Linked DNA regions of Saccharomyces cerevisiae S288C. The main gene of each other region encodes a partner of the protein of the gene in region 3 in a complex. Each region holds a gene or a part of one and is shown on either strand. Other genes may lie near its edges. The genes, in order: HPR1, THO2, TEX1 and YRA1. A codon is read from its position in the direction of its gene.

What was found.
Region 1: the proteins of TEX1 (region 3) and HPR1 are in contact, whole or in part, in a cryo-EM structure (PDB 7V2W), measured with the Saccharomyces cerevisiae proteins. Residues at the interface, in NP_014146.1 of Saccharomyces cerevisiae: Lys13 (codon at 3,338), Thr14 (codon at 3,335), Trp264 (codon at 2,585), Asn372 (codon at 2,261), Ile374 (codon at 2,255), Trp377 (codon at 2,246), Lys378 (codon at 2,243), Lys388 (codon at 2,213); in NP_010422.1 of Saccharomyces cerevisiae: Glu318 (codon at 2,674), Tyr324 (codon at 2,656), Tyr325 (codon at 2,653), Ala326 (codon at 2,650), Asn327 (codon at 2,647), Asp329 (codon at 2,641), Ile466 (codon at 2,230).
Region 2: the proteins of TEX1 (region 3) and THO2 are in contact, whole or in part, in a cryo-EM structure (PDB 7V2W), measured with the Saccharomyces cerevisiae proteins. Residues at the interface, in NP_014146.1 of Saccharomyces cerevisiae: Thr14 (codon at 3,335), Ile15 (codon at 3,332), Thr16 (codon at 3,329), Ser17 (codon at 3,326), Ala20 (codon at 3,317), Val73 (codon at 3,158), Ser74 (codon at 3,155), Pro122 (codon at 3,011), Thr123 (codon at 3,008), Leu125 (codon at 3,002), Glu207 (codon at 2,756), Ser218 (codon at 2,723), Asn219 (codon at 2,720), Gly220 (codon at 2,717), His223 (codon at 2,708), Cys246 (codon at 2,639), Ile249 (codon at 2,630), Lys250 (codon at 2,627), Ala251 (codon at 2,624), Thr253 (codon at 2,618), Pro263 (codon at 2,588), Trp264 (codon at 2,585), Gly265 (codon at 2,582), Arg266 (codon at 2,579), Ile273 (codon at 2,558), Asp274 (codon at 2,555), Gly275 (codon at 2,552), Asn276 (codon at 2,549), Tyr278 (codon at 2,543), Trp280 (codon at 2,537); in NP_014260.3 of Saccharomyces cerevisiae: Tyr453 (codon at 6,178), Gly460 (codon at 6,157), Glu461 (codon at 6,154), Asp464 (codon at 6,145), Met465 (codon at 6,142), Thr467 (codon at 6,136), Ala468 (codon at 6,133), Leu469 (codon at 6,130), Met470 (codon at 6,127), Ile471 (codon at 6,124), Arg473 (codon at 6,118), Ile474 (codon at 6,115), Asn476 (codon at 6,109), Leu479 (codon at 6,100), Arg484 (codon at 6,085), Ile486 (codon at 6,079), Tyr489 (codon at 6,070), Leu498 (codon at 6,043), Glu499 (codon at 6,040), Leu500 (codon at 6,037), Asn501 (codon at 6,034), Tyr504 (codon at 6,025), Thr544 (codon at 5,905), Lys548 (codon at 5,893), Arg551 (codon at 5,884), Asn590 (codon at 5,767), Asn591 (codon at 5,764), Pro592 (codon at 5,761), Ile593 (codon at 5,758), Lys653 (codon at 5,578).
Region 4: TEX1 (region 3) and YRA1 share a complex: the UniProt entries of both Saccharomyces cerevisiae proteins name them as parts of the transcription/export (TREX) complex.

Annotation. Positions count from the first base shown.
Region 1 is NC_001136.10:727,063-734,202, reverse strand, and holds HPR1 (Hpr1p), read right to left. Parts: upstream 3,626-7,140; coding exon 1,367-3,625; downstream 1-1,366. Other genes in the region: MTQ2 (S-adenosylmethionine-dependent methyltransferase), read right to left, coding at 1-65; NEDD8 family protein RUB1, read left to right, coding at 279-427, 501-585; RGP1 (Rgp1p), read right to left, coding at 3,953-5,944; ATP-binding cassette glutathione S-conjugate transporter YCF1, read left to right, coding at 6,652-7,140. UniProt on the Saccharomyces cerevisiae protein: Component the THO subcomplex of the TREX complex, which operates in coupling transcription elongation to mRNA export. The THO complex is recruited to transcribed genes and moves along the gene with the elongating polymerase during transcription.
Region 2 is NC_001146.8:358,184-367,905, forward strand, and holds THO2 (Tho2p), read right to left. Parts: upstream 7,535-9,722; coding exon 2,741-7,534; downstream 1-2,740. Other genes in the region: ammonium permease MEP2, read left to right, coding at 1-769; AAH1 (adenine deaminase), read left to right, coding at 1,413-2,456; YNL140C (uncharacterized protein), read right to left, coding at 2,734-3,303; U2 snRNP complex subunit YSF3, read left to right, coding at 7,850-7,852, 7,975-8,229; SRV2 (adenylate cyclase-binding protein), read left to right, coding at 8,558-9,722. UniProt on the Saccharomyces cerevisiae protein: Component the THO subcomplex of the TREX complex, which operates in coupling transcription elongation to mRNA export. The THO complex is recruited to transcribed genes and moves along the gene with the elongating polymerase during transcription.
Region 3 is NC_001146.8:167,268-173,391, reverse strand, and holds TEX1 (Tex1p), read right to left. Parts: upstream 3,375-6,124; coding exon 2,106-3,374; downstream 1-2,105. Other genes in the region: Nrd1 complex RNA-binding subunit, read left to right, coding at 1-804; mitochondrial 54S ribosomal protein mL46 MRPL17, read left to right, coding at 1,106-1,951; RTC4 (Rtc4p), read left to right, coding at 4,144-5,349; mRNA-binding translational activator GIS2, read left to right, coding at 5,602-6,063. UniProt on the Saccharomyces cerevisiae protein: Component of the TREX complex, which operates in coupling transcription elongation to mRNA export.
Region 4 is NC_001136.10:1,233,648-1,239,646, reverse strand, and holds YRA1 (RNA-binding protein YRA1), read right to left. Parts: upstream 3,090-5,999; coding exon 2,805-3,089; intron 2,039-2,804; coding exon 1,643-2,038; downstream 1-1,642. Other genes in the region: ribosomal protein P2 RPP2B, read right to left, coding at 1-155; COI1 (Coi1p), read left to right, coding at 797-822, 1,017-1,335; phenylpyruvate decarboxylase ARO10, read right to left, coding at 3,522-5,429. UniProt on the Saccharomyces cerevisiae protein: RNA-binding RNA annealing protein. May have a role in pre-mRNA metabolism. Component the TREX complex, which operates in coupling transcription elongation to mRNA export.

The DNA.
Region 1 (7,140 bases), on a different chromosome or scaffold from region 3:
AAGCTATCCTCAGCAGGCTCATATACTTTATCGTAATCGCATTTTACATAAGGGGTCGGTAGCATACTTCACCTTTCTCACCCTGTGTTAAGTTTATCAATATTATATTTCAGAGTATAATTATATCAATATTTATATGAAATCAAATTCCGATGGCGTCTTCGGGAAGGCAAACGAACAACTTTTAGCTGAAAAACCAAAATTCTGTTATTCAAATGAAGTATTCCGACAGAGGAATAAATAAAGGAAGGTAATTAACTTCCTTACAGCCGTAACCGATGATTGTTAAAGTGAAGACACTGACTGGGAAGGAGATCTCTGTTGAGCTGAAGGAATCAGATCTCGTATATCACATCAAGGAACTTTTGGAGGAAAAAGAAGGGATTCCACCATCTCAACAAAGACTTATATTCCAGGGAAAACAAATGTATGTTCATTCAGTGGTTAATTATCTTTTAAGTTTATTTACGTTTTTGAGACCTTACTAACGACCAGGATAGTGATGATAAATTAACAGTAACGGATGCACATCTAGTAGAGGGAATGCAACTCCACTTGGTATTAACACTAAGAGGTGGTAACTAGAACCATTTTCCGTCATTTATGGAATTTTATCGAAGGTGTTCATTAGAAAAGAAGACAAAACGAACATAAGTTCACTTGGACTTTGGAAGGCTACCGCCCCCAATTTGTCAAAAAAAAAAATACATACAATTTAGTCTATAGAGTCTGTTATAATAAATTAATTGTTTTTAGACGAGAAATGTGAACTAAAACTGTTTAGTATCTATCAAATTATCCGTTATAGCATAGTACGGCTATATATGGTCTGATTGCTGGTCTCATATGACTTTATGGTTTAAATTTCATAAAGCTGGCCATTGCATGGTTCGCGCTGGAAAGAGAGGAAAAGCGTGGTGATAAAGAGCAAACCAAGCATACTGTTATATGCGATTACAGACTATCTGACCAAAAGACATATTTCGCCATTTCTTCTCAATCATGTCTTCCAGGGCAATTTTGTAAGCACGATTGGATGTCCTCTTGTAGTATACCGAATTTCTCATTAAGAAAAGCATCCTTTGCGCTACAACTTTATCAAGTGGAAGTATATACTAAACTCGGAGCATGCTTTTGCCAACGATATCAGTCTTAGCAAAGGGACTTCTAAGGACGTTATTGACGCCTGATTAATCTAATCAAATATAGGTTTGTCATTTTTTTAAACCGAATGGATTGACTTTTGTTTTCATCATAAGTATTACTCTCTGATAGGATCTCTGTGGTACGCTAAAATCTATCTGAATTGTTTGGGACACTATGCATGAATTTCTTATCAGTTTAAAATTTCTATTAAGAGGATAATTTATTTCATATCTTGGGTAGATGAACCATTAGAAATGTTCGAAGTAGCTGCATTGTTATCTTCTGTTTTTGGATTTTCTAGTTGAGCTGTTGTATTCTGTGGAGCAAACTCCCCGGCAACACCACTGTCAGGATCTTGCGAAGAAACTTCCGAGCTTTTTATTTTGGTATTCTCTTCTGATATTTCTCCCTTTGGTTGCGTCTGTTCGCTCTTCAACTCATCTCCTTCTGTTTGAGAAGCGCTGTTTATACGTTGCGACTTAATTTTTTGCTCTCTTTCAGGAAACGAAGCCTCTTCTTCCAGTGCCCTCTTCTTTCTTTCCTTTCCAATCTTGTACTCCCTAGCATCCTGAAGTTTTTTCCTGTGCTCTTGATTGATTTTGTACAAAAGTTTCTCTTTGAAACTATCATCCAACGCTTCCACTTTTCTGGGTTCCTCGAACAAACCATCAACACCAGTCTTTTCGTTAACTTTATCAAAATCGAACAAGTATCGCGATCTTAGAAACCGTAAAGTTTGCCATTGTCTGATTATTTCATCTTTCGCTTCTCCACCGGAAGTTTCAGAAGAAATTTTTGATTCCCATTTCGCTTGGGCTGCTTCATAGACACCTTCAGGCTTCTTTACTTCTTGCTCAATTTTATCTAGACCAGTAGGTATTTTCCAAACATTATTAATCAATTTATTCCCCATCTTGATGAACGTAAACTTTTTAAAAGTTTCGTCAAAAGCGGGTGGCGGTATCTTCTCCTTAGATATTCTGAAGTTTTGGAATTCTTTAAAGCCATCGATCTTGGCGGTTGTAAACTTTTCGTCAGAAGACATTAATTTGCGGATAACACGATAAAAGTCAGGGTCTTTAATTTTATAAAATTTCAAAACACGATTGTCGCAAATGTATGAACATAAATTGAGCCCACGCTTTTTGTTAACTTCATCAAGGTTCTCAAAATCAATATCGCTCAACGGGTTTTCCCTCAAATAGCAGCTTTTATAGAAATTCCTCGTTTCATCAGAAGAAATTAAATTGCGTATAAGATTTGTTGTGAAACATAGTTGTAAAATGAACTGTTTGCGGTAGTAATCATCGTCCTCTTGAGTCAATTGTTTATAAAGGCAGGTCGTATTGCTCAAAGAGATATCCATAATGGTAGGTCGAAGAGTGTAGTCATCTGATTCTTTAATATTCTGTAGATTCGCCCAAAATTCATTCCTGTCCATTTTCATTGCGTTTGAATGCTTCATATACACGGGTAATTTAGGGGTCATAACATCGTAATTCGCGTAATACTCAGTGTTCAGAGCTTCCTCTAAGGAATATCTAGTCCTATTGTTCATCTTGATTTTGCTGTAAAAGTTCTCTTCGATTTCCAAGATTGCATCAAGAAGGGGACTTAATGATCTGTCCACATCATTTTTATATTCTAAATCGCTAAAAGCAAATTCGATCGGGCAAATAATTAGATGATAAAACACGAAGTTATAATCTGCAGCAAATATAACGTCGGAACTGCGGTTGCTTTCTCGTTCACGTGCTGATCTGTTCCATTCGTTATCAGATTCTTGTAAAGCTGAAATAGAAGCGGATCTATTGAAGTTCGATTCTTCATTTATAGGTAGTAGCTCGGATAAAAAGTTCTCTAGTTTGTATTTCATATTATAATGTTTGACGGTATTAAGGATGTCATTATTCTCTAATTTAGCTAAAATATCGTTCCAGTGGCGCAGCTTTTCGTATAAAGGCTGTTTGTAACTAATCAAATTGCTCTCCCCCAATGATACTGGCTCAACAGATGTATTCATTTTGAACCATTCGATACGTGATTCAGCATAGGGCCAAAACTTCAAAAACGTAGATGGTGAGTTTAGCAAATCAATGATGGTGGAAAATAACTCGAAAAAGGTATTTCCCCAGCTAGCTGGATTAGATCTATTAAATCTTGAGTTATACACAAAATCGAGACCTATACACGAATTTAGTAACCCTTTTTCAAGATTATTTTCTTCTTCGTCTTCAATAGCATTTGTCATTGAATCTATAATGAATCTTTTAAGTATAATGTCAATCAAAGAATCTCTATCATGAATTGCCGAAATATTTTTTTCGAGCGGTTCCCATTCAAAATTGAGAACACTTGCATGCAACATTGAAGATGGAAGTGGTTCATGTCGAATGGAGTCAAACGAAACTGGGAGTGCTTTAAAAGTTTTCTGGAGAAAACCTATTGAGTTTTGGATCAATTCCTCGGTATTAGACATTATTACTCCTTTGCCCAAGTTTTAATGCCTCTTGAATTGTTAAAATCATCTATTAATTTACTGATCAAGCTATGGCAAAAACCTGATCATTCTAACGAAAAATGTCATTAGAGAAGCAATATGCATCGTGCGAAATGAGCAGTCTTGAAATCGCACGGACAGCAACCCATGACATCAAGAGATGACTATTACGACAATAAAGCCGGTTAACTAACTTATAAATGTATCTGTACATACCCTTTATGAAGAGAGTATAGTAAATCCTCTTTACTGGATTGGATTCAAATGCAAAACCAATTATACGAGTAAACTGCACCCATTTATTGCTTACCATCCCATGAAATCTTCGGATGTACACAGTATTGGAATGGGAACGTAACATGTAAACTCTTCACCTTCTAAATTCTCTTTTGAATGGAATAGGATGCCCTTTTTATCCTCATAAAATTGATCCAAAGTGATACTTTCTGTCTTTGCAATTATTACAAATTTTAGTCCTATCATCCACTTATGTTGAAAAACATCTGTCTTGAATTGTCCGGTAATCTGGTTTGTAGGCGATCTTGGAGGAAGTAATTTCACCGATACGGACTTGCACTCATCGAAACAAATAAAATGTTTCTCATACACCGAGTTTCCTTTTGGTTTGCTCCCTATTCCTTTTCCTTCAGTCTTATATTTTGGATTTATAATTTCAAACGATTCTAAGGATACAGTCAACGAAGTCACTTTAAGTAAAGGCGTCGTTATCGGATCTAATTCAATGACTAAATTTATATCATCAGTTGTCTTATAAAAAGGTGCTGATAAGGATACTTTTGCCATAGTCTCATTATTTCTGTTAATTTGATATGCGTTCTGTAAATTAATTAGCTGAGGTAGAAGATTAGAATTCTCATCTGACTTAACGAGAGAACAATCGTTCCACATCTTTTGCTCGAGGTTAGAAATGTTATCGCGTACCGAATAACTTTTTCTCCTCTTAGTTACAGCATCGCTTCTCAGGCTAGACTCTGCAGACGTCACCATTTCGTTCGAAAAGTGTGAGTCGTTGGGTTCAGGATCCGAAGAATCCTCATCCTTTCCGAACTGTACCCCCATTTGCAAGTCAATAAGTTCGTCTATATCTCTTGACACATTTTGGTTAGATTCCACCAGTTCAATGAAGTTTTTTTTGACACGCTTGACAAATTCATTATCTTCTAATGGAGAATCAATGTCAATTATAGAAGATTTTCTCCTACCAAATGATACAGCAGAAGCCGTAGAAACTTTTCGAGTAAACAAACGTGGCTTTAGTTCCTTTATGTTACCTGTCTTTAATATGATAGCAGGCTTATCCAGACGTGATGTGTACTGTTCGGCATTCGAACTAATATATGGTGCTATTGTTATTGGGACTCTATTTGAAAATTTCTCGATATTATCATCAGAAAGTACATCCGCACCAACCTCCAGCGTGTAATTTATTGATGCCACTTTTGACGATGAATAACTTGGGCATATATCTTTTGGCAGCTTTGTGGATTTAAAATAGAATGTTCTTACTTCACCTGGTTCTAAAGAAATTTCAGAAAATAAAAGCGTCTGTGGTATTAAAAGAAGAGGTAATGTTTTTATACTGGTATCGTTTGATATCATTAAGGTCCGTTCGTTATAGGTACCTGTTCTTCCCCTAGAACCGCTTTCTGAGAAAAGAAGACCATTGGTCACATTTGTATAATCTGAGTTGAGGTAGTTGGTTAAATTTCTTTTACCTTTGAAATGTTCTCCATCTTCCAATGCAAGAACAGAATTTGTCGTATGTCCAGGTACAATATCTAGTCCTACCATTTTTACTTCATCTTGTTTAAATTTTGACTCTGAAATTACCTCTGAATCGTATTGAAAGACCCCCGATATTTGAACATAACCGGATATTAACGTTACAGGTTGATGAAAATACATTTGCTTCTGTATTTTTTCTCTTAACATCTTACTCTCATTTAGCATTTTCATGTTATCCACATCCACACTCTCTTCAGGTTCGCCTGTTCTTTTGAAGGCACCTAGTAATGATTTTAGGGACCAGGTTTGATTTTCCATCGTGCCTTCACCATCATCTTGCACTTTCGCTTGTTGTTCCAACTTCTCTTCAACAGCTTTATCGACAGTGAGAAGCTTTTCTTTATAGTTGAACAATTCATGCTGTGAGCCTAGGTGCTTAAATCGGAAAGCAATTGATATATGTTCTCCACCAAAATAGGAATTCGATTCATGTATGATCTCCAGTTTGATGTTTTCTCTTATGAGAAATGTATCGATTCTGTGCGCACGCATATCTTCTTCTAAAGTATGAAAAATATCACAATCAAAATCAACAGCTCAAGAAATTATGGGCTAGCTTTCGCTGTTTGTTTCGACTGGCAGCCTTTGCATTGCCCCGTAGGTATCAAAGCTTCTTTGAAGCTGAATTGATCTTGAAAAATAGCACTTTGGAGACGCGCCTTACGCTTTATAGGAGACTTCGGAGTAGACTTCGATTAAAAAATAAAAATTACACAAGAAGTTCAAGTATTATGTTTAATATTCAAACAACGTTTCCACCTCATGGAGAAATGAAGACTTTTATCGTTCTCCGTGAGGTGGATTTACTGTTATTGTCGTTAGAGTTCATGAATGTTTCTCTTGCGCGAGCAGATCTACTGGTCAGGAATCTACATTACTTTGCAATCCATAGTACGCTTGTTATGCTGCATCAATACGAATATATATATCTAATGCTAACATCTGGTTTCTGTAGATATCTTGGCGTGTGTTTCTTTATGATAATACAAAAATATGTAACTCCTGGTGTGATGCTTGGGCGGTGGAAGGTTACGGCTTAGTAATTACGAAATTGATGAAAAAAGTTAGCAGCTGCTATAAAAGGTGCGATAACCTCTTGTGATCATCTGCTATGTGGAAGCTGGTTTACAACCTACAATTTTTCAATTAACAGTTTGAGAATAAATTAGGGGTATCGTACTACCGTAAAGAACAAGAAAATGGCTGGTAATCTTGTTTCATGGGCCTGCAAGCTCTGTAGATCTCCTGAAGGGTTTGGACCTATATCCTTTTACGGTGACTTTACTCAATGCTTCATCGACGGTGTGATCCTAAATCTATCAGCAATTTTCATGATAACCTTCGGTATCAGAGATTTAGTTAACCTTTGCAAGAAAAAACACTCTGGCATCAAATATAGGCGGAATTGGATTATTGTCTCTAGGATGGCACTAGTTCTGTTGGAGATAGCGTTTGTTTCACTTGCGTCTTTAAATATTTCTAAAGAAGAAGCGGAAAACTTTACCATTGTAAGTCAATATGCTTCTACAATGTTATCTTTATTTGTTGCTTTAGCCTTACACTGGATAGAATACGATAGATCAGTTGTAGCCAATACGGTACTTTTATTCTATTGGCTTTTTGAAACATTCGGTAATTTTGCTAAACTAATAAATATTCTAATTAGACACACCTACGAAGGCATTTGG
Region 2 (9,722 bases), 190 kb from region 3:
CTTTAACGGAGGCTCTGCAGGTAATGCAACTATACGAGCATGGTACTCTATTATGTCCACAAACTTAGCTGCTGCTTGCGGTGGCTTGACATGGATGGTTATCGATTATTTCAGATGCGGAAGAAAGTGGACTACAGTTGGTTTGTGTTCAGGTATCATCGCTGGCCTAGTGGGTATCACCCCAGCCGCCGGGTTCGTGCCAATCTGGTCAGCCGTTGTCATTGGTGTGGTTACTGGTGCAGGATGTAACCTTGCTGTTGACTTAAAGAGTCTATTGCGCATCGATGATGGTCTAGATTGTTACTCTATCCATGGTGTGGGTGGTTGTATTGGTTCTGTATTAACTGGTATCTTTGCTGCAGACTATGTAAATGCCACTGCAGGCTCTTACATTAGTCCAATTGATGGTGGCTGGATCAATCATCACTATAAACAAGTTGGTTATCAATTAGCAGGTATATGCGCTGCACTAGCCTGGACTGTTACTGTCACATCTATCTTGCTTCTAACTATGAATGCCATTCCATTTTTAAAACTAAGATTAAGTGCTGATGAGGAAGAATTAGGTACCGACGCTGCTCAAATTGGTGAATTTACATACGAGGAATCCACTGCTTACATCCCAGAACCAATCAGATCTAAAACATCGGCACAAATGCCACCTCCTCATGAAAACATTGATGATAAGATTGTGGGTAACACAGACGCAGAAAAGAATTCTACGCCTTCCGACGCTTCTTCTACTAAGAACACTGACCATATAGTATAATGATATACTCAAGCAGACTATGATTTTATGTTTAATCTTTATGTAACGCTTCATTTAATAATTTTATTTTTAATATTTGATATATTTTCTTTTTTTGATAACTCCGAATGATGAGGGGAGACGTTAGTATTACTTCTCTTGTCTTATGTTATTATCATAATCGATGACTTTAACTGTGCACACTATAATATACAGCATCTCCAGAGCATGATAGCAAGAAATTTTCTTTAAGAAAGCCTCTATATACCCTATATATGCTGTTAACAGGAAAAGAGCACAAGGTTTATTTTGCTTTGGTTGCAAATTTTCATCGCTTATAGAAGACATATTTTGATGTAAAAACCTTGATATACTTCCTTTTTGCCTTATCTTTCACTGTTTCCATCTCTTTTCTTTTTTTTTTTTTTTTTTTTTTTTTTTTTTTTTTTTTTTTTTGAATCTTAAAATTCTCGAAACTGCACTGAAATGGCGCAGGAAACTGACCTCATCGCATGCCAACGAAGATTGAAAAAAATTAACATATAAGGCTTATGAAAGCGACATCTTTTGCAAATGAATAATTGACAAGCAGGCCTGTGTATTTATAGTTATTTTGAAATAATAACTACCATTAGAACTAACAAAAGAAAAGAAAAAAAAAATAATGGTTTCTGTGGAGTTTTTACAGGAGTTACCAAAATGTGAGCATCACTTGCATTTGGAAGGTACTCTAGAACCTGACCTATTGTTCCCATTAGCTAAAAGAAACGATATAATTCTACCTGAAGGTTTTCCTAAATCGGTCGAGGAATTAAACGAAAAGTATAAGAAGTTTCGTGATCTGCAGGATTTCTTAGATTACTATTATATTGGTACTAATGTCTTGATTAGTGAACAAGATTTCTTTGATTTGGCGTGGGCCTATTTTAAAAAAGTTCACAAACAAGGCTTGGTCCATGCTGAAGTGTTTTACGACCCTCAGTCACATACATCTAGGGGCATCTCCATAGAAACAGTCACTAAAGGTTTCCAAAGAGCTTGTGACAAAGCCTTCTCTGAATTTGGTATTACATCCAAGCTAATTATGTGTCTGTTAAGACACATTGAACCAGAGGAATGTTTGAAAACTATCGAAGAAGCTACCCCATTTATTAAAGATGGTACTATCTCTGCCTTAGGATTAGATTCTGCTGAGAAACCATTTCCCCCACATTTATTTGTTGAATGTTACGGAAAGGCCGCCTCATTGAATAAAGATTTAAAACTAACTGCACACGCAGGTGAAGAAGGCCCCGCTCAATTCGTCTCGGATGCTTTAGACTTGTTGCAAGTAACAAGAATCGATCACGGTATCAACAGTCAATACGACGAGGAGTTATTGGATAGGTTGTCGCGCGACCAGACCATGCTAACTATTTGTCCTCTCTCCAACGTGAAGCTACAAGTAGTCCAATCCGTTTCAGAGTTACCACTACAAAAGTTTCTTGACAGAGATGTTCCATTTTCTTTAAATTCTGATGACCCCGCCTATTTTGGTGGTTATATCTTAGATGTCTACACTCAAGTTTCGAAAGATTTCCCACACTGGGACCATGAAACATGGGGTCGTATCGCTAAGAACGCCATTAAAGGTTCATGGTGTGACGATAAAAGAAAGAACGGTTTGTTAAGTAGAGTGGACGAAGTAGTCACTAAATATTCGCATTAGTACCATTTGCAAGACATTGTATAATATTTTTGTTGAAAGTCTTTTTCGATTCATAAGCGCTTTTTTGTAAATTTATAACACTATGTGTATGCACAAATTTCATTCGATGTTTTTGATGCTTTTTACATCCCCTTTTGTGTGGGAAAGGATACAATAGAATTCTACAAACTTATTTGAGTGATTATACGAGCATTAGCTGGACCTTTTGTATTTCACGAGATTACAATTCGGGAACTATCAAAGTACACGTTAAAATTCAGCTCGGGTATGTTAAGTACTAGTAATTACCTCTGGTACCTACTGACGTAATTCCCACCCTTGGGACCTTGCGGAAGCGCCTGAGTATTGCTCTTTCTATTTCCGTTGTACCTTTGATTTTCATTGGCTCTATGGGCAGCACCGCTATCTCGTGTATTTCTATAATCTTGCGTTTGAAATTTGTTTCTAATTGTTTCATCCTTCTTGAATCTTTTATTCGGCTTTTCTTCATTTTCTGAAGGCGAGTCGCGCTTGTAAGATGAAGCTTGGTAAGGGTTGGCTTTGCTGCTGTCTTTGCCCTCTTGAAATGGCTTTTCAGGAAACCGTAATTGTGAACGTTGTGAACTGTTTTTCTTATACTCTTCACGTAAGCGGTTATCCCTTTGATCAAAACCATCGCCCCTGTCCGGACCTGTGGGTCTAAGTGCCCTACTTCTATCATTATATGTTTTACTTTTACTAGGTCTAGTTGGTAGTTCTGACCTTTTATGTGCATAACTACTGATTGGCTTAATATTTTTGGGTGCAGAACGATCATTGCTTGGTCCTCTATAGTTGGAACTACCATAACCATCTTTGCCTCCAGCATTTCCGCTGTACCTACTTGATCTTTTGGTATATTCAGGAGCAGCAGCTTCAGAATATGAGCTAGTCGTATCTGGGTATGGCTCGCGCGAGATATTTTTAATATACCTTTTAAGCGAATCAATTTTTTCTGCAAAATCTGGATTTTGAGGATTTTGAATGAGTGTCCTAAAGTACCTTTCGAATATTTCCAAAGTCGAATTTCTAAAGTCGAATATTGGCATATTTTGCTTAGATAATTTCCTTAAATTCCGAGTTTCATCGTCGTTCTCTACTAAGGAAATTGCCTTTTGTAAATGGTTCGTGGCCAAATAATGGTTTATATCGTCGACGTGCCTGGTGACTTTGGAATATGACCATTGACTACTAGAAGGTTTTGTTGGGATTACAGGCTCATTACGAGAATAAGTATATCTATCCTTGCTATTTAATCCAGCACTGCCGCTTGCAACACTTTTGGGTGGATCATTTTGAAGTCTTTGCGACTTATTAAGCTCTAACTGCTTTCTTAAAGCTACTTGCTTTTGTTCATTTTGGCAAGCTGTTTCATAATTTTTGATCTCTTCTAATTCCATTTCACGTATTCTCTTTTGTTCAGCTTCCTCTTCAGTTAAGGTGCAGAATTCGTCCAATTCTAAAGCGTCCTTCAAACGCGCTTTCAAATGGCCAATCAATGCGCTGCTTGGTAGTTTAATATCCTCCCTTTCTTCATTTATCAAGTTTTCCTCTAAAGTTGTGTAAACCAACTGGATATGAGCTTTCACTACAGGGAAGACACTAGTGACGTGCTTCATGAATTCAATACCGTTTCTAATTGACATGTAATTTTTTTCGGATAAAAGGTCAATGACTTGCTCGGTAATTACTGAATGCCATTCATAAAGCTTTCGAGAAGCTTGGTCGTTGAAATCGCCATTTAATCTCATTTTTTCAAGCTTTTTAAGAACGTCAGTGAAAAACAGACCTAAATTGCCTGCTTCAGAGCTAGTACAACAGAACAGCAACGTTTTTAAAATATTTGATGTAATACAAGTATTCAATATCGACATCAAATTTTCTGTCCTAAAAGCCATAAAGATAAAAAACGAAGAGAAGAGAGCATCTGAAGGAGAAAATAAAACCCTTGGCACAACACAATTCTGCAAGAATATCTTAATTTGATCTTCCCCGCAGTCTTTGTTCCAGACATTTGATTTTTCAGATATAAATTCTGAAGTTTTCTTGAAGGCTCTTTGATGCGAAATTCCAGTAACCAAAATATCCTTGATTTGATTCTGAATCAGGTGTTTTTTTCTATTTGACATGTGGCCCGTGTTTTCTCCGGATAGTGCATTCTTACGCTCGTCATATAGTGATTTATCGAAATGGATATCGTATAATGAAAGTCTCCAAAAAGTAGTGAAAAGATCCTTTGATATTTTCGTTAAATCAACATCGCTAAACTCTGCACCTTCAATTAATTCATCAATAGAAAAATTCTCATTTGAGTTCAATTGATTATCCAAGTAGTCTCTCCATATGTGGAAAGTCCACGGTGTCGATAAATGGAACCTATTATTCAATTCTACAAATGGGAGAACATTCTCTTCAAATGCTTTCCCTTTCAAACAATGTTTAATTAACTCAATAAACGACCATAACAATGTATTCATTTCATCGCATCTAGTGGATAAAATTTTGTAATGAGAATTTTGCGTATTTGCTTTCAGGTTTAAAGTGTATAACAGGAGAATAATCTCAGAAATAGCGCTCTGATCAGTGAAAAATGAGGTTAGCCTCGACGAAATAACCGAATTATCATCTCTAAAATCATATATGAGATGTCTTGCATATTGCTTTAATGGTGATCCTGAGTTTAACATTAATAGTTGCTTCATATTAACTTCGTTTAAGTCTCTAATGCCCCCGACTGTAATAATTAATTCCTTTAGGATAGAAACTGCTATGATATTCCCATTATGCAACGTCTTTAAAATATAGGTGATTATATTTGAGATATCCATATTGGGACAATTTTTGGCCAAACCTGCAATAAATATTGATAATCTCTGGACCCACATGGCCTGGTTAACACCATCAAATTGAACAGCAGGCCTGTTATAAGTTAAGCGTAACAATAATACAAATTGCAATACATCATACGCAAAATCGTTAAAGTACTTCGTGGTGTAAACAACAAGCTCAGAAACTTTGTCATAGTTTTCAATCTGCTTAACTGCTGGTACCAGTGAGGCCAATGGATTTGTAGAGATTAATTTGGCAAATCTCCTGGACTCTTTTGCGATTGTATCTATACTCAAAGCCTTCAAAATACTCTTCGCTTCTCTTTCGGCCTTATTGAAGCTCACCTTAAGCGGTAGAATATCTTGGGATAATTTCGTCATCATTTCGTTGTAAATAAAATATCTTTTTTCAAAAGGGAAAAATTTCATTAGTTCGTAAACTTCCGATGTGGCAATTGGATTGTTCTGCAATAGCGAGGTAGCTGGAAAAATGAATTTTCTTACATAGTCTATCCACTTATCAATCGTAACATGCAGAGACTCAGAACCGTGGTTCTTTTGAATGTCAGCTACCCCAATACGTGAAATCTTACTCAAAAGCGTAGGAATTCTCCCCAAATACGGTCCTATGATAGATAAATAGATATGCGAGTTTTCAAATAGATCATTTACAGAAGCAAAAGGAGTCAAATTGGAATTCCACTCGCTGTAATAGAAGACGTAGCTTGAATTCAATTCAAGGGATTCAAATGGCTCGTGAGTTTTATATTTATGGATCAACCTTGGCTTATGGGCTAGAATACCATTATCTATACGGGTTATCATCAAAGCAGTTGCCATATCTTTTGATTCACCAGATGAGGTCATTGATGTGTACAATGGATTTAAAAGATATTCAAATACTCTTCCCAAATATCTAGATAAGGATTCACTAACATATAACACTTTCGGATATTGCTTTAACACATGTATCACGGGAATAACGCAACCATGTATGAGTAAGCGTTCCAAGAGTTTTATTTTACCAAATAATAAAATATCTTGCTGAGTTTTCTGCTTGCCTTTTGATTCTATATCAGCGTTTGTTTCCTCAGAGATTTTATCCTTCATATTAACATCATCATTTACAACAAGGGCGTTGTCTTCGTCAGTTTCATTTTCAGTGGACAAAGCAGCTGCCATAGCCAAGGGATTTTCTACGCCTTTAGTGGACTCCTCTTCCAGTTCAGTTTCTAAGTTTTGAATATATTCTTGTAGAAATTCCATCTCTGGTTTAACGTTATCCCAAATAGAATAAAAATTGACAAACCCATTTTTCAGTAAAATGCAACACATATCCATATACCGTTCATAGTTTTCCTTATCGACTTCTTCGTTATATTGCGATAAATTGAATGAAATAATGTTTGCTGCAATCATATTACCGCCTTCATTAAGAGAAGAATAATTGGAATTGTTAGCTACATGGCTAGATGGCCAAGAATCCGACTTTCGTAAAAGAGCAATAAAGAACTTGTACCCTTCAGTGATAAACTGACTAGAAACGTTCAAAATAACATCTAAAGTACGAATAGAATCCAAGGAATATTTCCCCATAATATGATAGATTTCTTTCAAATATGCGGACACTTTGGAAAAATTGTCGGGATCATAATACGCCAATATTAATAAGGCTACCAATTGACCATAACCCACTGAATTTTCTACCAAAAGGTTATATTTCTTCAGTTCGTATTTTGACTTTTTTAACAAATGCCTTAATAAGGTGGTTTGTTCCTTGTTGAGCAGCTTAGAGGATATCCAACTAAATTTGAACAATTCTTCATGCAACGACGGTATTAGTTTACATAATGATATGGTTGTTAGATCATTTATATTTGGAACAGTGCTTGAGACGGCGATAAACATTTTACCAACTATGGAAGCCTGGGACACTTGCCTTTCATGATTCACTAATTCATTAGTAAATGATGCAACATCAGAAAGCTTGAGGGGAGAATTTTCATCGTTTTTATTTATGAAATCAAACAGTTCAATAAACAAAGTCCTCAACCAGTCTTCCTTTTCATCATTTGACTCCAGTGCAGTGAAATCGGAGCAGAGAGTTTTTGATCGTTCAGGCCAGTTTCGTATCACCTCTTCCGTTAAAATGCTTGCCTGACTAGGGGAAGCTGGTGGTATCACTTTTTGAGAAAGAGCGTTCAATTTGGAAAGTAGCGTCTGTTCTGCCATAAAGTCCTGAAAATGTATACTGGTGCGAATATGTATCAACTGAAACCGTTTCACCCTATTATGCTTTAGATAAAGACGATAAAATCACAGCCCTATAATTTATGCAACAGTGTTTGCTTCTAAATCAACGTGTTCCCTGGGCATAAACTCTCATACGTTATGTCGCTATTGAAGAAATAGCGGAAAATCTTACGCCGAAGTTAGCGTTGTCACCCGGGAAGAAGAGAAGAACATAAGCCTTCTCATTCAGAACATGTAAATAGTGGCTAAAATGGTTATATTACACAATTCGAAACAGTGAAATTAAGAAAAGAAATGGTATGTTACGTTCTATTGCGCTTTAGTTTGAATTGAAATCATCTTTACCATGGTACTAACTACGCTTGCGATGAATCGTGCAAGTCCGTGCGGCTTATACGTAATGCTAATACTCAAAACAGGCGGAAAAGCAGAGGCAGTTGAAGTTGCAGAAGATATACAAACAAAAGTACATCGGACTGGGAGATGAGAGCACTACACGAGAACAGTGGCAGAGAAATGTGAGAAACGATACACTAAATACATTACAAGGCCACTCCGCATCTTTGGAGTACGTTTCATTGAGCCGAGGAGACCTTAGTATACGTGACACTCGTATTCACCTCCTGAAATCCATGTCCCCTGGCTATAAAGCCTACTTACGAGAAGAGAGGTAGGACGTTGAAGCCACATCCATAAATAATTTTTACATAAAATTACGCCTCGTATGTCGTTCTCAAGATTTATGGTAGAGATCACACTCAGTCAGTAACCTTTTAGGCATTGATTCTAGTAACTGTCGAACATTATTAACCTTGATGTTTATATAAAGATATAAAATGTTGGGACAGTATACAATTCATATCGTTTAAAATGATCTATACATGTCGCGTGAAGTCATAAACAGGGATTTAGAAGTGAAATCTTTTGGTAGTATAGGGGAAAACTCAGCTTGAAACTTTTCGTAATTGAGTAGGCCAAGTTGCAACCGTGTGAAATCGAATCATGCCTGACTCTAAGTACACAATGCAAGGTTATAACCTTGTTAAGCTATTAAAAAGGCTAGAAGAAGCCACTGCAAGATTAGAGGATGTCACCATCTATCAAGAAGGTTATATTCAGAATAAATTGGAGGCATCTAAAAATAACAAGCCTTCCGACTCCGGGGCCGATGCGAATACTACGAATGAACCTTCTGCAGAAAATGCTCCTGAAGTAGAACAAGATCCGAAATGCATAACTGCGTTCCAATCTTACATCGGTGAGAATATTGATCCGCTGGTAGAATTATCAGGAAAGATCGACACGGTGGTCTTAGATGCTTTGCAGTTGCTAAAGGGAGGCTTTCAATCGCAATTGACTTTTTTAAGAGCTGCTGTGAGATCAAGAAAACCGGATTATTCTTCTCAAACTTTCGCTGATTCTTTAAGACCTATCAACGAAAATATTATAAAGCTGGGTCAATTGAAGGAATCAAACCGTCAAAGCAAATACTTCGCATATTTGAGCGCTTTATCTGAGGGTGCTCCTTTGTTCTCCTGGGTTGCAGTGGACACTCCCGTGTCTATGGTCACAGATTTCAAGGACGCAGCACAGTTTTGGACTAATAGAATTTTGAAAGAATACAGAGAGTCTGATCCTAATGCTGTTGAATGGGTTAAGAAATTTTTGGCCTCTTTCGATAATTTGAAAGCCTACATTAAAGAGTATCATACTACTGGGGTTTCCTGGAAAAAAGACGGTATGGATTTTGCTGACGCGATGGCACAATCAACGAAGAATACAGGTGCTACTTCATCTCCTTCGCCAGCAAGTGCTACAGCGGCTCCAGCACCACCACCTCCTCCACCAGCCCCACCAGCTTCCGTCTTTGAAATCTCTAATGATACACCAGCAACGAGTAGTGATGCTAACAAAGGCGGTATTGGCGCGGTCTTCGCCGAACTAAATCAGGGTGAAAATATCACTAAGGGTTTGAAAAAAGTAGACAAATCCCAACAAACTCACAAAAATCCTGAATTACGTCAATCCTCTACAGTTTCTTCCACAGGAAGTAAATCCGGTCCACCACCAAGGCCAAAAAAGCCATCAACATTGAAAACTAAGAGGCCTCCTAGAAAGGAATTGGTAGGAAACAAATGGTTTATTGAGAATTACGAAAATGAAACTG
Region 3 (6,124 bases):
GAGCTTAATGTTTCCAATAATCCTCATTATAGACCAAAACCAGTAAGTTACGACTCTACATTGCCACCAGATCATATTAAAGTCTACAGCCGTACTCTTTTCATCGGTGGGGTACCACTAAACATGAAGGAATGGGACCTTGCTAACGTTTTAAAACCTTTTGCTGAAGTACAAAGCGTCATTCTGAATAACTCCAGAAAACACGCTTTTGTGAAAGTTTATTCAAGACATGAGGCCGAAAATGTTTTGCAAAACTTCAATAAAGATGGAGCCCTGCCATTGAGAACTAGGTGGGGAGTTGGTTTTGGTCCAAGAGATTGTTGTGACTATCAACACGGTTACAGTATTATTCCTATGCACAGGCTCACGGACGCTGATAAAAAATGGTCAGTAAGTGCGCAATGGGGTGGCACTTCTGGTCAACCTCTCGTTACCGGTATTGTTTTCGAAGAACCGGATATTATCGTTGGTGAAGGTGTTTCTTCCAAGGCAATATCTCAAAAGATGCCTACTGATTCTGGCAGAAATGGGCCACGTTCTGGTAAACCTAACAAATCTGGTAGCATATCGTCGATATCTCCAGTACCCTACGGCAATGCACCATTGGCATCTCCTCCACCACAGCAATATGTGCAACCTATGATGCAGCAACCGTATGGTTATGCCCCCAACCAACCATTACCTTCTCAGGGACCTGCCGCAGCGGCTCCCCCTGTACCTCAGCAACAATTTGACCCCACTGCTCAATTGAATTCTTTGATGAATATGCTTAACCAACAGCAGCAGCAACAACAACAAAGCTAAGATCTTTACTCCACCCTTTATTTGCTCATAGTACATAAAACTAATCTACCTCTATATATAATTTCTGTTTTTTCCTATGTTCCTTTTTTTTTTTTGTTAAATGGACATCCTTATGTATTCACATAACTACTGTGTTTCAAATGTAGCATTATCCTATTCTTTATTCTCTTTTTTTACCGTATTCCTGGTTTTTTTTCAAGGTTTAGATGAAAATGAAAATGAAAAAAAAAAAAGGAAAGAAAACAGTTAAACAATCAATAAACTTTATATTCTACGTAATCATAAGCGCTTATCCAGTACCATGAAGGTAAATTTAATGTTGAAAAGAGGGCTTGCTACTGCAACTGCAACTGCCAGTTCCGCTCCCCCCAAGATTAAAGTCGGAGTACTACTGTCAAGAATCCCTATAATTAAATCAGAATTAAATGAACTAGAGAAAAAATACTATGAGTACCAATCAGAACTAGAAAAGAGACTAATGTGGACGTTTCCGGCATATTTTTATTTCAAAAAGGGTACTGTAGCAGAACACAAATTTCTATCCCTGCAGAAAGGACCTATCTCCAAAAAAAATGGCATTTGGTTTCCTAGAGGCATACCGGACATTAAACATGGCAGAGAAAGAAGTACTAAGCAAGAAGTTAAACTTTCTGATGACAGTACAGTAGCATTTAGCAACAATCAAAAAGAGCAAAGCAAAGACGATGTTAATAGGCCCGTGATTCCCAACGACAGGATAACGGAAGCAGATAGGTCAAATGATATGAAGAGCCTTGAAAGACAATTGAGCAGGACCTTATATCTTTTGGTTAAGGATAAAAGCGGTACTTGGAAATTCCCTAACTTCGATCTTTCTGATGAATCTAAGCCGTTACACGTACACGCAGAGAACGAATTGAAATTGTTGAGCGGTGATCAGATATACACTTGGTCTGTTTCTGCTACGCCCATAGGTGTTTTGCAGGACGAGAGAAATAGGACTGCTGAGTTTATTGTGAAGTCACACATTTTGGCTGGAAAATTTGATTTGGTGGCGTCGAAAAATGATGCATTCGAGGATTTTGCTTGGCTGACAAAAGGTGAGATCAGTGAATATGTACCAAAAGATTACTTTAACAAAACAGAATTTCTTTTAGCGGATAATTGAAATCACAAAAACAGATGCGTTTTTAACGTTACATATACAAAATATATGCGTGCATATATATTTATATATTAGGTTGTCGTCAATCACATGTAAATATCATTAAATGAAAGAAAAAGAATGTGCATTTTCTACCGCATTCCTTCCATCAGGTAACTTATTTTTTTGAGTTGAATCTACTCGGCCTATCCTTGCCAATCCTATCAGTATTCTTACTCGTCCTTTTATTGTGGTTGTTGCCTCCACCGTTGTTTTTCCTACGTTTTTCAATCATCGTGTTATCGAACATGTCTTTCCAATAAGTTATTAGATTTTTTTCGTTTTTAACAAAATGATTTGATAGTGTGTCATTCTTGCCTGACATGATATACCATGATTTATCAGGATAAAACTTCAAAACGGGATCGGTTTTGTAATTGGCTAAAGATTTAGAGTGGAGTAAATTACCACTATTAAGATCATAGAAATATACCATTTCATCTTCTGTACAAATTCCTAGTATTTTACCCAAATGACAGACGTCTAGTGTTGTTACCGCAGAGTTCAAATCGTTAATTATTAATTCACAACATAGTGACTTCATATTCCATACGTAGCAATTCCCATCGATACTCCCAGTAATGAAGTTTCTTCCCCATGGGTCCATTTTGATCTCGGTTATAGGACCAGTATGTGCTTTAATTTTGGTACAAACCTCCAATATGCCATGTTTTGCTTTTAAAATGGCCAAATAACCACTCTTAAAGCCAATAAATATATGACTTCCACCATTGCTCCATGCTAAGGAATACACAACGTCATTATCCTCTTGGCTTATATCGCTGATGTTCAAAGAACAGACAGAGCTGTGATCCTTTTTCACATCAAACAAGTAGATTTTCTCAGATTTGGTGGCAGCTAATAACCAGTTTCCTAATGGATCATAAAGACATGTGTTGACCTTAGTCTTGCTTCCCAATGACAAGGTCCTTAATTTGGATGCCGTTAGCGATTTTTCGTTGATTAAGAGTAAGGATATCTCTGATGAATTGCTCACGACAGCTATTTGATTTAAAGAAGTAGGGTTCCAGGACAAATCAGTAGCCAATTTATCGGAACCACAACAGTCTGGAATATAAACTTCTACAGATTTGTCAAAACTTGCATCTTTAATAAACCAAACGGTCAATGACCCATCCATTCTACTATACGCCATCGATGAACCTGATACGTGAAATTTTAGGGAAAGAATTTCATTTGGAGTTATGGGAGTCGAGGTGAATCTTGAATGAGAACGCGAACTGACATGAATGAACCTTTTATCTTCGATATGACTTGTATTACCTTTAGAAAACGTACTTTGTAGATATTTTGAAGTCACTGAGGCAGCCACTTCAGAAGTTATGGTCTTTTGATTAAGAATATCAACAGCTCCAATTGTCGACATGCCGAATAGTTCACTTGATCCTTTTTATGTATGTAGCTGTACACCAATCAAACCTCAATGAGTGAAGCTTTGTACGTAGAAATACTGAAGAGATATATATTTAACATAATATCTTATGTACGTAACCTGTGGTGCAAGGCTTTTAATTTTCTTAATTCTACTATGAATAATGATAAGTTAGGCAAGACACCTATACATGGTTAGTGGCGTCGTTGGGGTGTAAAAATGAATTGTCCATGCTCGGTTACTGTTTTATACAACGGTACAATAATTTAACGTTTTGTTTCTTCCGTCATCATATCCAGTGGGAAAGGTGTATTTCTAGAAAATAATGTTAACCTTCAAGGTTATGCTTTGCGATATTTGACACTTTCCAAAGAAACATGGGCACTGTTAATATACCTTCAAGTCTACATACATATATATAAACTGCATTTGGCTATCTATCGAACGTAAGCAGGAAAAAAATGGCAATTCGATTGAAAATCCAAAACCCTTTATGATACTGAAGACAACTCCAGTAATTGAATAGGTATGGAATAGTAATTCTCTGAAAACTCCCTTGAAAATTGGGAGGCAATGATACTCCTATTTGTGCTGCATCTCAATTGTTGTGGTAAATAGCGTCCTAAACTTTTTTTTTTTCCTATATATAGATGGCGTCGCTAAAATGGGAAGCTTTGAAAAATGTAGCGATGAGATCACATTAAAAGGGTACTGTATGTGCTCTCGAGACCTTAGCACAAATTTTTGACCTGCGTAGACAGAGATGGTTGGGCCTGGTCTGGGAATTAATCGAGTGAGGAGAAAAGGTGTTTATTCCACAAAAAAGGGAAGTGGTGATAACTTACTGTTAATGAAAAGACAAGGAAAACATGACATACATGATAGAGAAAGTGACGACTTATCAGGCCATGATGCCTTTTCCCCCTCAAAAAAGCGCGGCAAAATAGACAGTATCACAGAAGATGAGATTGAAGTAAAAAAGCTTTCCACTGTGGCCACATTTGATAAACTTTCGAGGTCATTTCCAAATTCAGAAGTACAAGCCGCAAAGAATGCAGCACTCAGAGGAAAAGAAAAAGAAGAAGAGAAGGTCGTTTCTATCCCACTAATACAGAATTTGAAAAATGAAGATATCGAGTCTATCAAATGCAGGAACAATAATCTTTTAGACGGTAAAAAATTACTCTTGGAGGCAGAACTATCGGCAGTTGAAGATAACCAAATCTTCTCCTCTTCATTTCCCGAGGATAAAAAGCTATCGTTACAAAGTTGTTTGAGTTCTAAAGAGCAGATAATCAAAAAACTTCAAGTAAGGGAAGAATACATGAGCAAGTTCAAACTACCACCCATGTTGTTTTCGGATGAGCTACTCACTGAAGTAGAACCCTTCATGCCCATTGTAATGGACATATTGGAGGGAAAGATATCGTCTGTATACTATTTTGAAGCAAAAAATGCATTCAAAAACTCACAAAAGGCTTACTTGTCCGTAGATGAGTTTAGAAAGTTGAATTTAAACAAATTTACTGCTGGATTTTACGGCCTGAAAAGGCAATTGAGGGTTGGCGAAGAAATCGCTAAGAGATATAAAAGGGCACTCACGCACAATCAGCCCGCAACCTTAAAATGGTGGGGGATAACAGATTTCTGTAACTACGTTTTGGCTCCAGAAACCCTTACGTCTTTTTGTATTTACCAATTAAATCTCTCGAATAAATCTTGCTCGTCGAAGACACCGAATAAACATCCAAAGCAACAATTAAACGAGAAGGAATATTACTACGATCCCGAATTAAGGATGCTAGCCTATGACTTACTCGAGGATACAGTTGAATACGGTATCATAGTAGCCGACTCTGATCCAATTGAGCAATGGGAAGCTGCCATAGAGGAAGACCGTCTGCGGGAACTGAAACTCGATGTTCATAACTATTCCAGCAGGAGATGGCGACTGGATACGCACGATTAAACAGGTAGTATATTGCCGTTTGTTGCCTTTATGGCTTAGGGATTTGAGCTTTATAGTAAGAACTGCTGTGGTGTCATGATAGACGAAATGCTGAAAAAATTTTCTTTTCGTTCCTTTTCTCTTTTGGCAAGAGTTGTAATAAGGTCATCGATGGATTAGAAATGCTCTTTCTGCTTTGGGGGCACTTGAGGATTGTATTATTTTAAGGCTTTCCCTTCAGAAATCAGGAAAAAAGAAAAGAATACGAAAAAGATGTCTCAAAAAGCTTGTTACGTTTGCGGTAAGATTGGCCATTTGGCAGAAGACTGTGATTCTGAAAGACTATGTTACAACTGTAACAAACCCGGTCACGTTCAAACGGATTGTACCATGCCAAGAACAGTTGAATTCAAGCAATGTTACAATTGTGGTGAAACCGGTCACGTTAGAAGTGAATGTACTGTGCAACGTTGTTTCAACTGTAACCAAACCGGCCACATCTCCAGAGAATGCCCTGAACCAAAGAAGACCAGCAGATTCTCCAAAGTTTCATGTTATAAATGTGGTGGTCCAAACCATATGGCTAAGGACTGTATGAAAGAGGACGGAATTAGTGGATTGAAATGTTACACTTGTGGTCAAGCTGGCCACATGTCCAGGGACTGTCAAAATGACAGGCTTTGTTACAACTGTAACGAAACTGGCCATATTTCCAAGGATTGTCCAAAGGCTTAGGTGAAACATCCACTGAAAAAAACAAAGGAACAATCACTTATCATGCTATATTTCATAGAGG
Region 4 (5,999 bases), on a different chromosome or scaffold from region 3:
AAAGAGCCCTTACCTTCCAAAGAGGACAACAATTCGTTGATTCTGGCTTCATCGACTTCAGCACCGACAGATTCGACGACGGCCTTGATGTCAGCGGCGGATGGGGCAGCGTTACCACCTTGAACCAATAATAAGTAAGCAGCTAAGTATTTCATTTCTGTTGTTGATTAATAGATATTACTTTCTATATTTGAAATAATCAGTTTAAGCGGTAATAAATTCGCGGACTATTCCTTAACGATCTGTAACTGGAAGTTAAATCAAAGATACGTAAAGTAATAGTTTAGAGTAAGTCCAAATATCATCTCTTAAATGAAAAATTTCAGATACCGAGAAAATTTGGAAAAAGAAAATTATTACAATTTTTCTGCTTGGTAACTTTACACGATCCATACTGTAATTTTCGCATTACCTGCGTAATGACTAGAATGGGCACGTGATCATAAAATTAGAGACGACAAGAGCTCTCCAGTATTCTTAAACGGTAGCCCTTGGTTGTGATACAGCCACATGAACAGATTCCCACTGCAGCCTTTTTTGTTGGGTTCGAATAGACAAGATAAATAAGAGCAGTTACACTATATAATATATATATATATATATATATATATATATTACATTACTGACCTCAAAGCATCACAAATGTGTCGCTTCCTTCTTCGCCTTTTAGTTGAAGACATCCTTTTCAATCTTCCTCCTTACAAACCCGAGCGTCCTGCTTGCATATAAAAAAATCAAGGCAGATGAAGAGATAAATATAGTAATATTTCATTCTTTGAGCCGTACTAAGTATACAATGTCAAATCCATTTCAAAATATAGGGTATGTGTAAAAGAAATAGGGAAACATCTATTCGTAAAGCCTAAACTAACATTGGATATCTTTTTCTATTTCCCGGACTTCTTTTTTGGTTATTTCCTTATTGGCCTATCCCTTGAAGCAGAGTTTGATTGCACCATATATATAACCAAAGTGAAGACGAAAGTAGGAAAACACTACCAATGCGATTTCAACAGTAAGAATTTACTATACATTTCTGCAGCCGGGATTGCGTCTATTTATGTGGTCAAGACCATAGTGAAAGCTAGAAGAGATGCTAAATTTATACCAAAGGCGCGGGGAAACAATGGTGAAGTGAATGAAAAAAACTATTATGATAACCTTGCTCAAGTCAAACCAGGGTTCCCCATACCTAAAGATGGAGGAGACAACATTGATTGCTCTGAGGACCATCAATTAGTAAGAAAGAGTAAATATGAAGGTAGCGGGCTTAGTGCTGTAACAAGAAAAAGAGGTGACAAATTAGGTTTTTTAGATAGGAGGAGAAACGAGTAACACACGTTTAATCAACCTATCCATTTTTTCAATGCAGTATTATGTATATATATATTCATCGCACTGTAAATAGTGACATATTATGAGTCAAATATGCCGAATAAACTTTAAAAGTGAGAAAAGCCGTCACCGATGAGTAGGTTAGCGTCACCTAGTGGCGGTGGTAAATATTATTACATAAACATATCAAAGTTTTATTAATACATTTTTTAATCCTTTAAATTTTCTGGAAACTAATACATAATGAAACTCGGAAAAATTAAATTTAATAAAACCAAATTAAATCAAACAAAAAATTGACAATTAATTATTTCTTTTCGAAATAGTCCGCCATTTCCTTGTCCAGATCTTCAAGACTTTTCTTAGCAGGCTTTTCTCTCTTTGGTTTGTTTTGGGATTTTGCCATAGCAGCTTTTCTATTTGGACCCCTCTTTACTGGTCTTGGAGCGTTTCCGCCTTTTTGTGGCATAGCCTTGATCCTGTCGGCTAAACTTTTGACTGGGCGTTGGTTTGGATCAACGATTAGGTTAAGTCTCAATCTTGATCTGCCTCCATCGATTGGAGAGCCGTTAAATCTTTCAACAGCCCTTCTGGCCAATTCACCGTTTTTGAATGTGATGTTAGCCATACCAGTAGATTGGCCCCTTTCGTTATAACTCAACAAAACTCTTTGAACACCACCTACTTGAGATGCAAAAAATTCCTATAATAAAAAAAAAAAAGTTAGTCATATATCTCTATGATATAAAATCAAAGAAGGAAGGGACAATACACAAACAATCAAGGAGTTGAGAGTATTAAAAGTATACCATTGCGTAGGAAAAATAAACCCTCAAATAAACATGTACCACGATGGGTGAGTTCCTCTTTGGTTTCATTAGGTGTCTCAAATCAAATATTTTTGTAACTATCATAATAAAAAAATGAAGCGATGCACTCATATCTTTTCGAACGTTCATGAAAGACATGTTTCCCATAGCTATTTTTTGAAAATGGTGCCATTCGAAACTGAAAGCTACTCCCTCTTGAAAGGATACAAAATTAATTGATCCTTCCACAACTTCAGTATTGGATGATACGCTTATTAAAAATAGGAACTAACTATCACGGTCGAGGCGACACAATACGCCAGCTTAAAAATGTAAGATTGACAGATTAGCAGATAGTCAGATTGATTTGAGTTAACCCAGCCAATAAGAACAAACCCATTCTCAGTGGTAGCTGGTAATTCCAACCTTATAGGCCATGATTTGAAGTATTGAAAAAAATTGGTATGGTTGGCTTATGAAAACGATACTCTTTTTGTATTTTCTCTAGCGAAGTATTTCGGACTCTTTCTTCATCTCTAAAAAGAGAATTCTTGATCAAAAGCGTGTGCCATATCCTTCCTTACAAAGAATATTTCTCGTATCCACACGAGACGATGCGAGTAACTAAACAAATAGCTCTCATTTCACGTATTAACATACTCTTACAGCATCCTGCTTAATGTCCCTTGGCAAACCTTCGACGTTGACCTTGACCTCTCTAGTGGTGTCCAAGAGCTTGGCAACTCTAGCGACTGCGTTTGGAGGTGCCCTAGTATTTTTTCTGATAGGGCCTCTTCTGTTTGGAAGGCTCCTACGTTGGCTACCAACTTGCTTACCAACTCTTCTTGGACCGTTACCACGAGTACCACCGACACGGGCTCTATTACTTCCTGCTTTGTTAGAGCCAATGATTTCGTCTAAGGATTTATCTAAGTTAGCAGACATTTAGCAGATGTAGGTATTTTCTTAATATGGATTTCTTAAAGTTTCAAATAGAACGAGGGAGATTTTTTTATCTATTTGTCTTCGATAGTTTTCGGATAAAACTTCTTCTAACAAAAAAACCTACTACTAAACACACGATAGGAATGACAGAAAAAAGCGAACGGAAGAAGTGAAAAAGGATAAATTTGGCGGCCTTTTATAGTTCTTCAAGTGGTGAGCCGAAAGCCGTGGAAAAACAACACGTCTCCCCGCCCCTGCCTCGTCGCGAAAAAAAAAATACTAGCAACTGGACAAAGAACTCTGTGGTAGTGGTAAAATAGCTTTAATATACGTATTTACTTTGTAAATATAGTTACATAAGGGTTTTTTATGTGTTAATGAACAGAAAACGAACAATTGGTAGCAGTGTTTTATAATTGCGCCCACAAGTTTCTATTTTTTATTTCTTTTAAGTGCCGCTGCTTCAACCATGCACTTTAGCTGTTCGGGGAAATCCAATTCGCCTAATTTGACTTCTAAAAGTTCTATCCCGCTTCTTTTGTTTGAATTCTTAAGCTCCTCCAATTTCAGTGCTAATTTAGAGGGACATTGAATGAGAGTGCTATTAGTATACTTTCCGTCGAAGTCTCCGAATGCTTCAAATAGTTTGGTCCATTTCCAAGACATAACGTCGTTATACGACCTGGTAGGGCCCATGATGGCTCTTTCAATAGTGTAGCCGTTATTGTTCCAAATGATAACTTCTAGTGGAATATTGCACTTCAGAATGGTGCTCAGTTCTTGGATTGTCATCTGTGCTGCACCGTCACCTTCAAACAAAATTAATCTTGGCTTATAGTCCTCTTTTACGTTGCCACCATTGATGTGAGCGTTTGAGTGGTCTTGCATGGCAATTCCAACACCTAGGGCGGCAGGAAGGGCCATGCCAATGGAAAGGAAAAATCCTTGCGATATATATTTTAATTGCGAAGGAAACGCGAAATCACGAACAGAGAATTGAAAAGAGCCTGTTTCACAAACGACAACATCACCAGGGTTCAAAAATTTAGGCATCGTCTTTTGTAAGTGAACTTGTGTAATAATGCTTGATTGTCCATTGGTAGGATCTTCTAACCGCATTGTTTCGTTCGTATATTGAGTTACATTTGAATCATATTGCAAAGAAAGTTTAGAAACGTCAATGCGCTTGTATAGTTCTTTTAAAATAGGGGCAAAATTGATTCCTTTGAACATTTGCTCATTGCCCTGCCTAGTGTCCACAAGGCGAATATAATTCGGATGAAATTGAATGATTTTAGCATTTGGTTTATAAGTAAAAGTATAATGCCCATTATTAATTTCATTGATGTCGACTCCAAAATGCAAGACCAAGTCGCACAGTTCAAAATGTTCATAGACTTGTTTTAAACCTTCTTTACCATTATATTGACCCATATAAGTTGGGTTTGACTCATCAATTACAGATTTTCCCATAACAGTGGAAAAATTCCAAATCCCAGTTTTGCAGATAAGCTTGTTCAAAAAGTTACTCACACCATACCTATCAGTCAGTACGTCTCCAAGGATCGCAGGTGTTTTACTGGAATATATCCAACTAGTAATCTTGTTGATTATGTCAGACAATTGGTTTTCAGAAGGGTATACTATACAATCTTGTTGAGATATACGTGGAACATTAACCAAATTATCACATGTAACAGACATATCCGCAAAATCTGCAGGAACAAAAATATAACCAGGTTTAGAATACTTGTAAATATCGCGGATAACATTATCGACTTGGTCACATGCAGTTTCAATATCCTCCAAGTAGGCTACCGAGCAAGCGACTCTATCTTTTACCATATCATGATATACTTTATGATTTGGCCCTTTAAAATTTGAATCATGTAGCTGTGGGACCAAATGATGTAGGTTCCGATCACTAAAGTTACTTGAACGCGAATCTATGGACTTGGCCACACCAACAATGTGCAAAACTTTGACATTTTCAGCGAACGAACCGGCTATACCGTTCAAGGCGCTTAATTCACCAACGCCATACGTGGTTATTAAACAGCCAATCTTATTAGAGTAACGGGAATATCCGTCGGCCGCATAAGCGGCGTTCAGTTCATTACACGTGCCGACCCATCTTAGGCCAGCTGATTCAACACTAGGTGAATAGAGATATTCTAATAGAGATAAGTTGAAGTCACCAGGAACACCGAAAACTGATTTCGTATCGATGGACAACAATCTTTTAAATATGTATTCACCAAACGGAATTGTTGCTGATCGGTTGGAAACAAGGTGTCGTTCTTCTTGATTTACGAACTTTTCAATTGTAACAGGTGCCATGCTTAAGGGAGTTTCTTTGTTATCTTGTAAATAAACTTTACAGAAGTCGCGTCAACTTGTTTTGAGTATCAAGTTGAGAGGGTTGATCAGTTAAATATGTTTTATATCAGATTTTATGTAGTATTAATAAACGCAGAAAAAAAATGAAAGTGAGCTGCCGCTGTAGTGACGATGCAAACTAGCCCAGTTTATATCTTAAACTTTACTCAACACAATAAATAAGATGCCACTAACCTATTACATACCGACACTTACCGAAGGTATCAAAGCTCCGCCGCACAAAAGTACGACAAATGCTCAGCATGACCTCGGCAATTTTCGGTAAATGACGGCTATCCGCGGTTATCCCTCCCGGTAGGTAACCGACACTTTGGAGAGGATTCGCAAAGGCTCAAAGTAATATATGACGGCTTTTTCAAAAAATAGCCTAAGCCTACTACCAAATGTTAATAAGGAAGCTACATGAGGTGTACAAGCATCGAATTTTGGATTATCTTTTTCGCTAAGACGTTGTTGTACGCTTTCAATCCTGCTTTTTTAAATTTCGGTGGACGAACCAATCTAAAATGT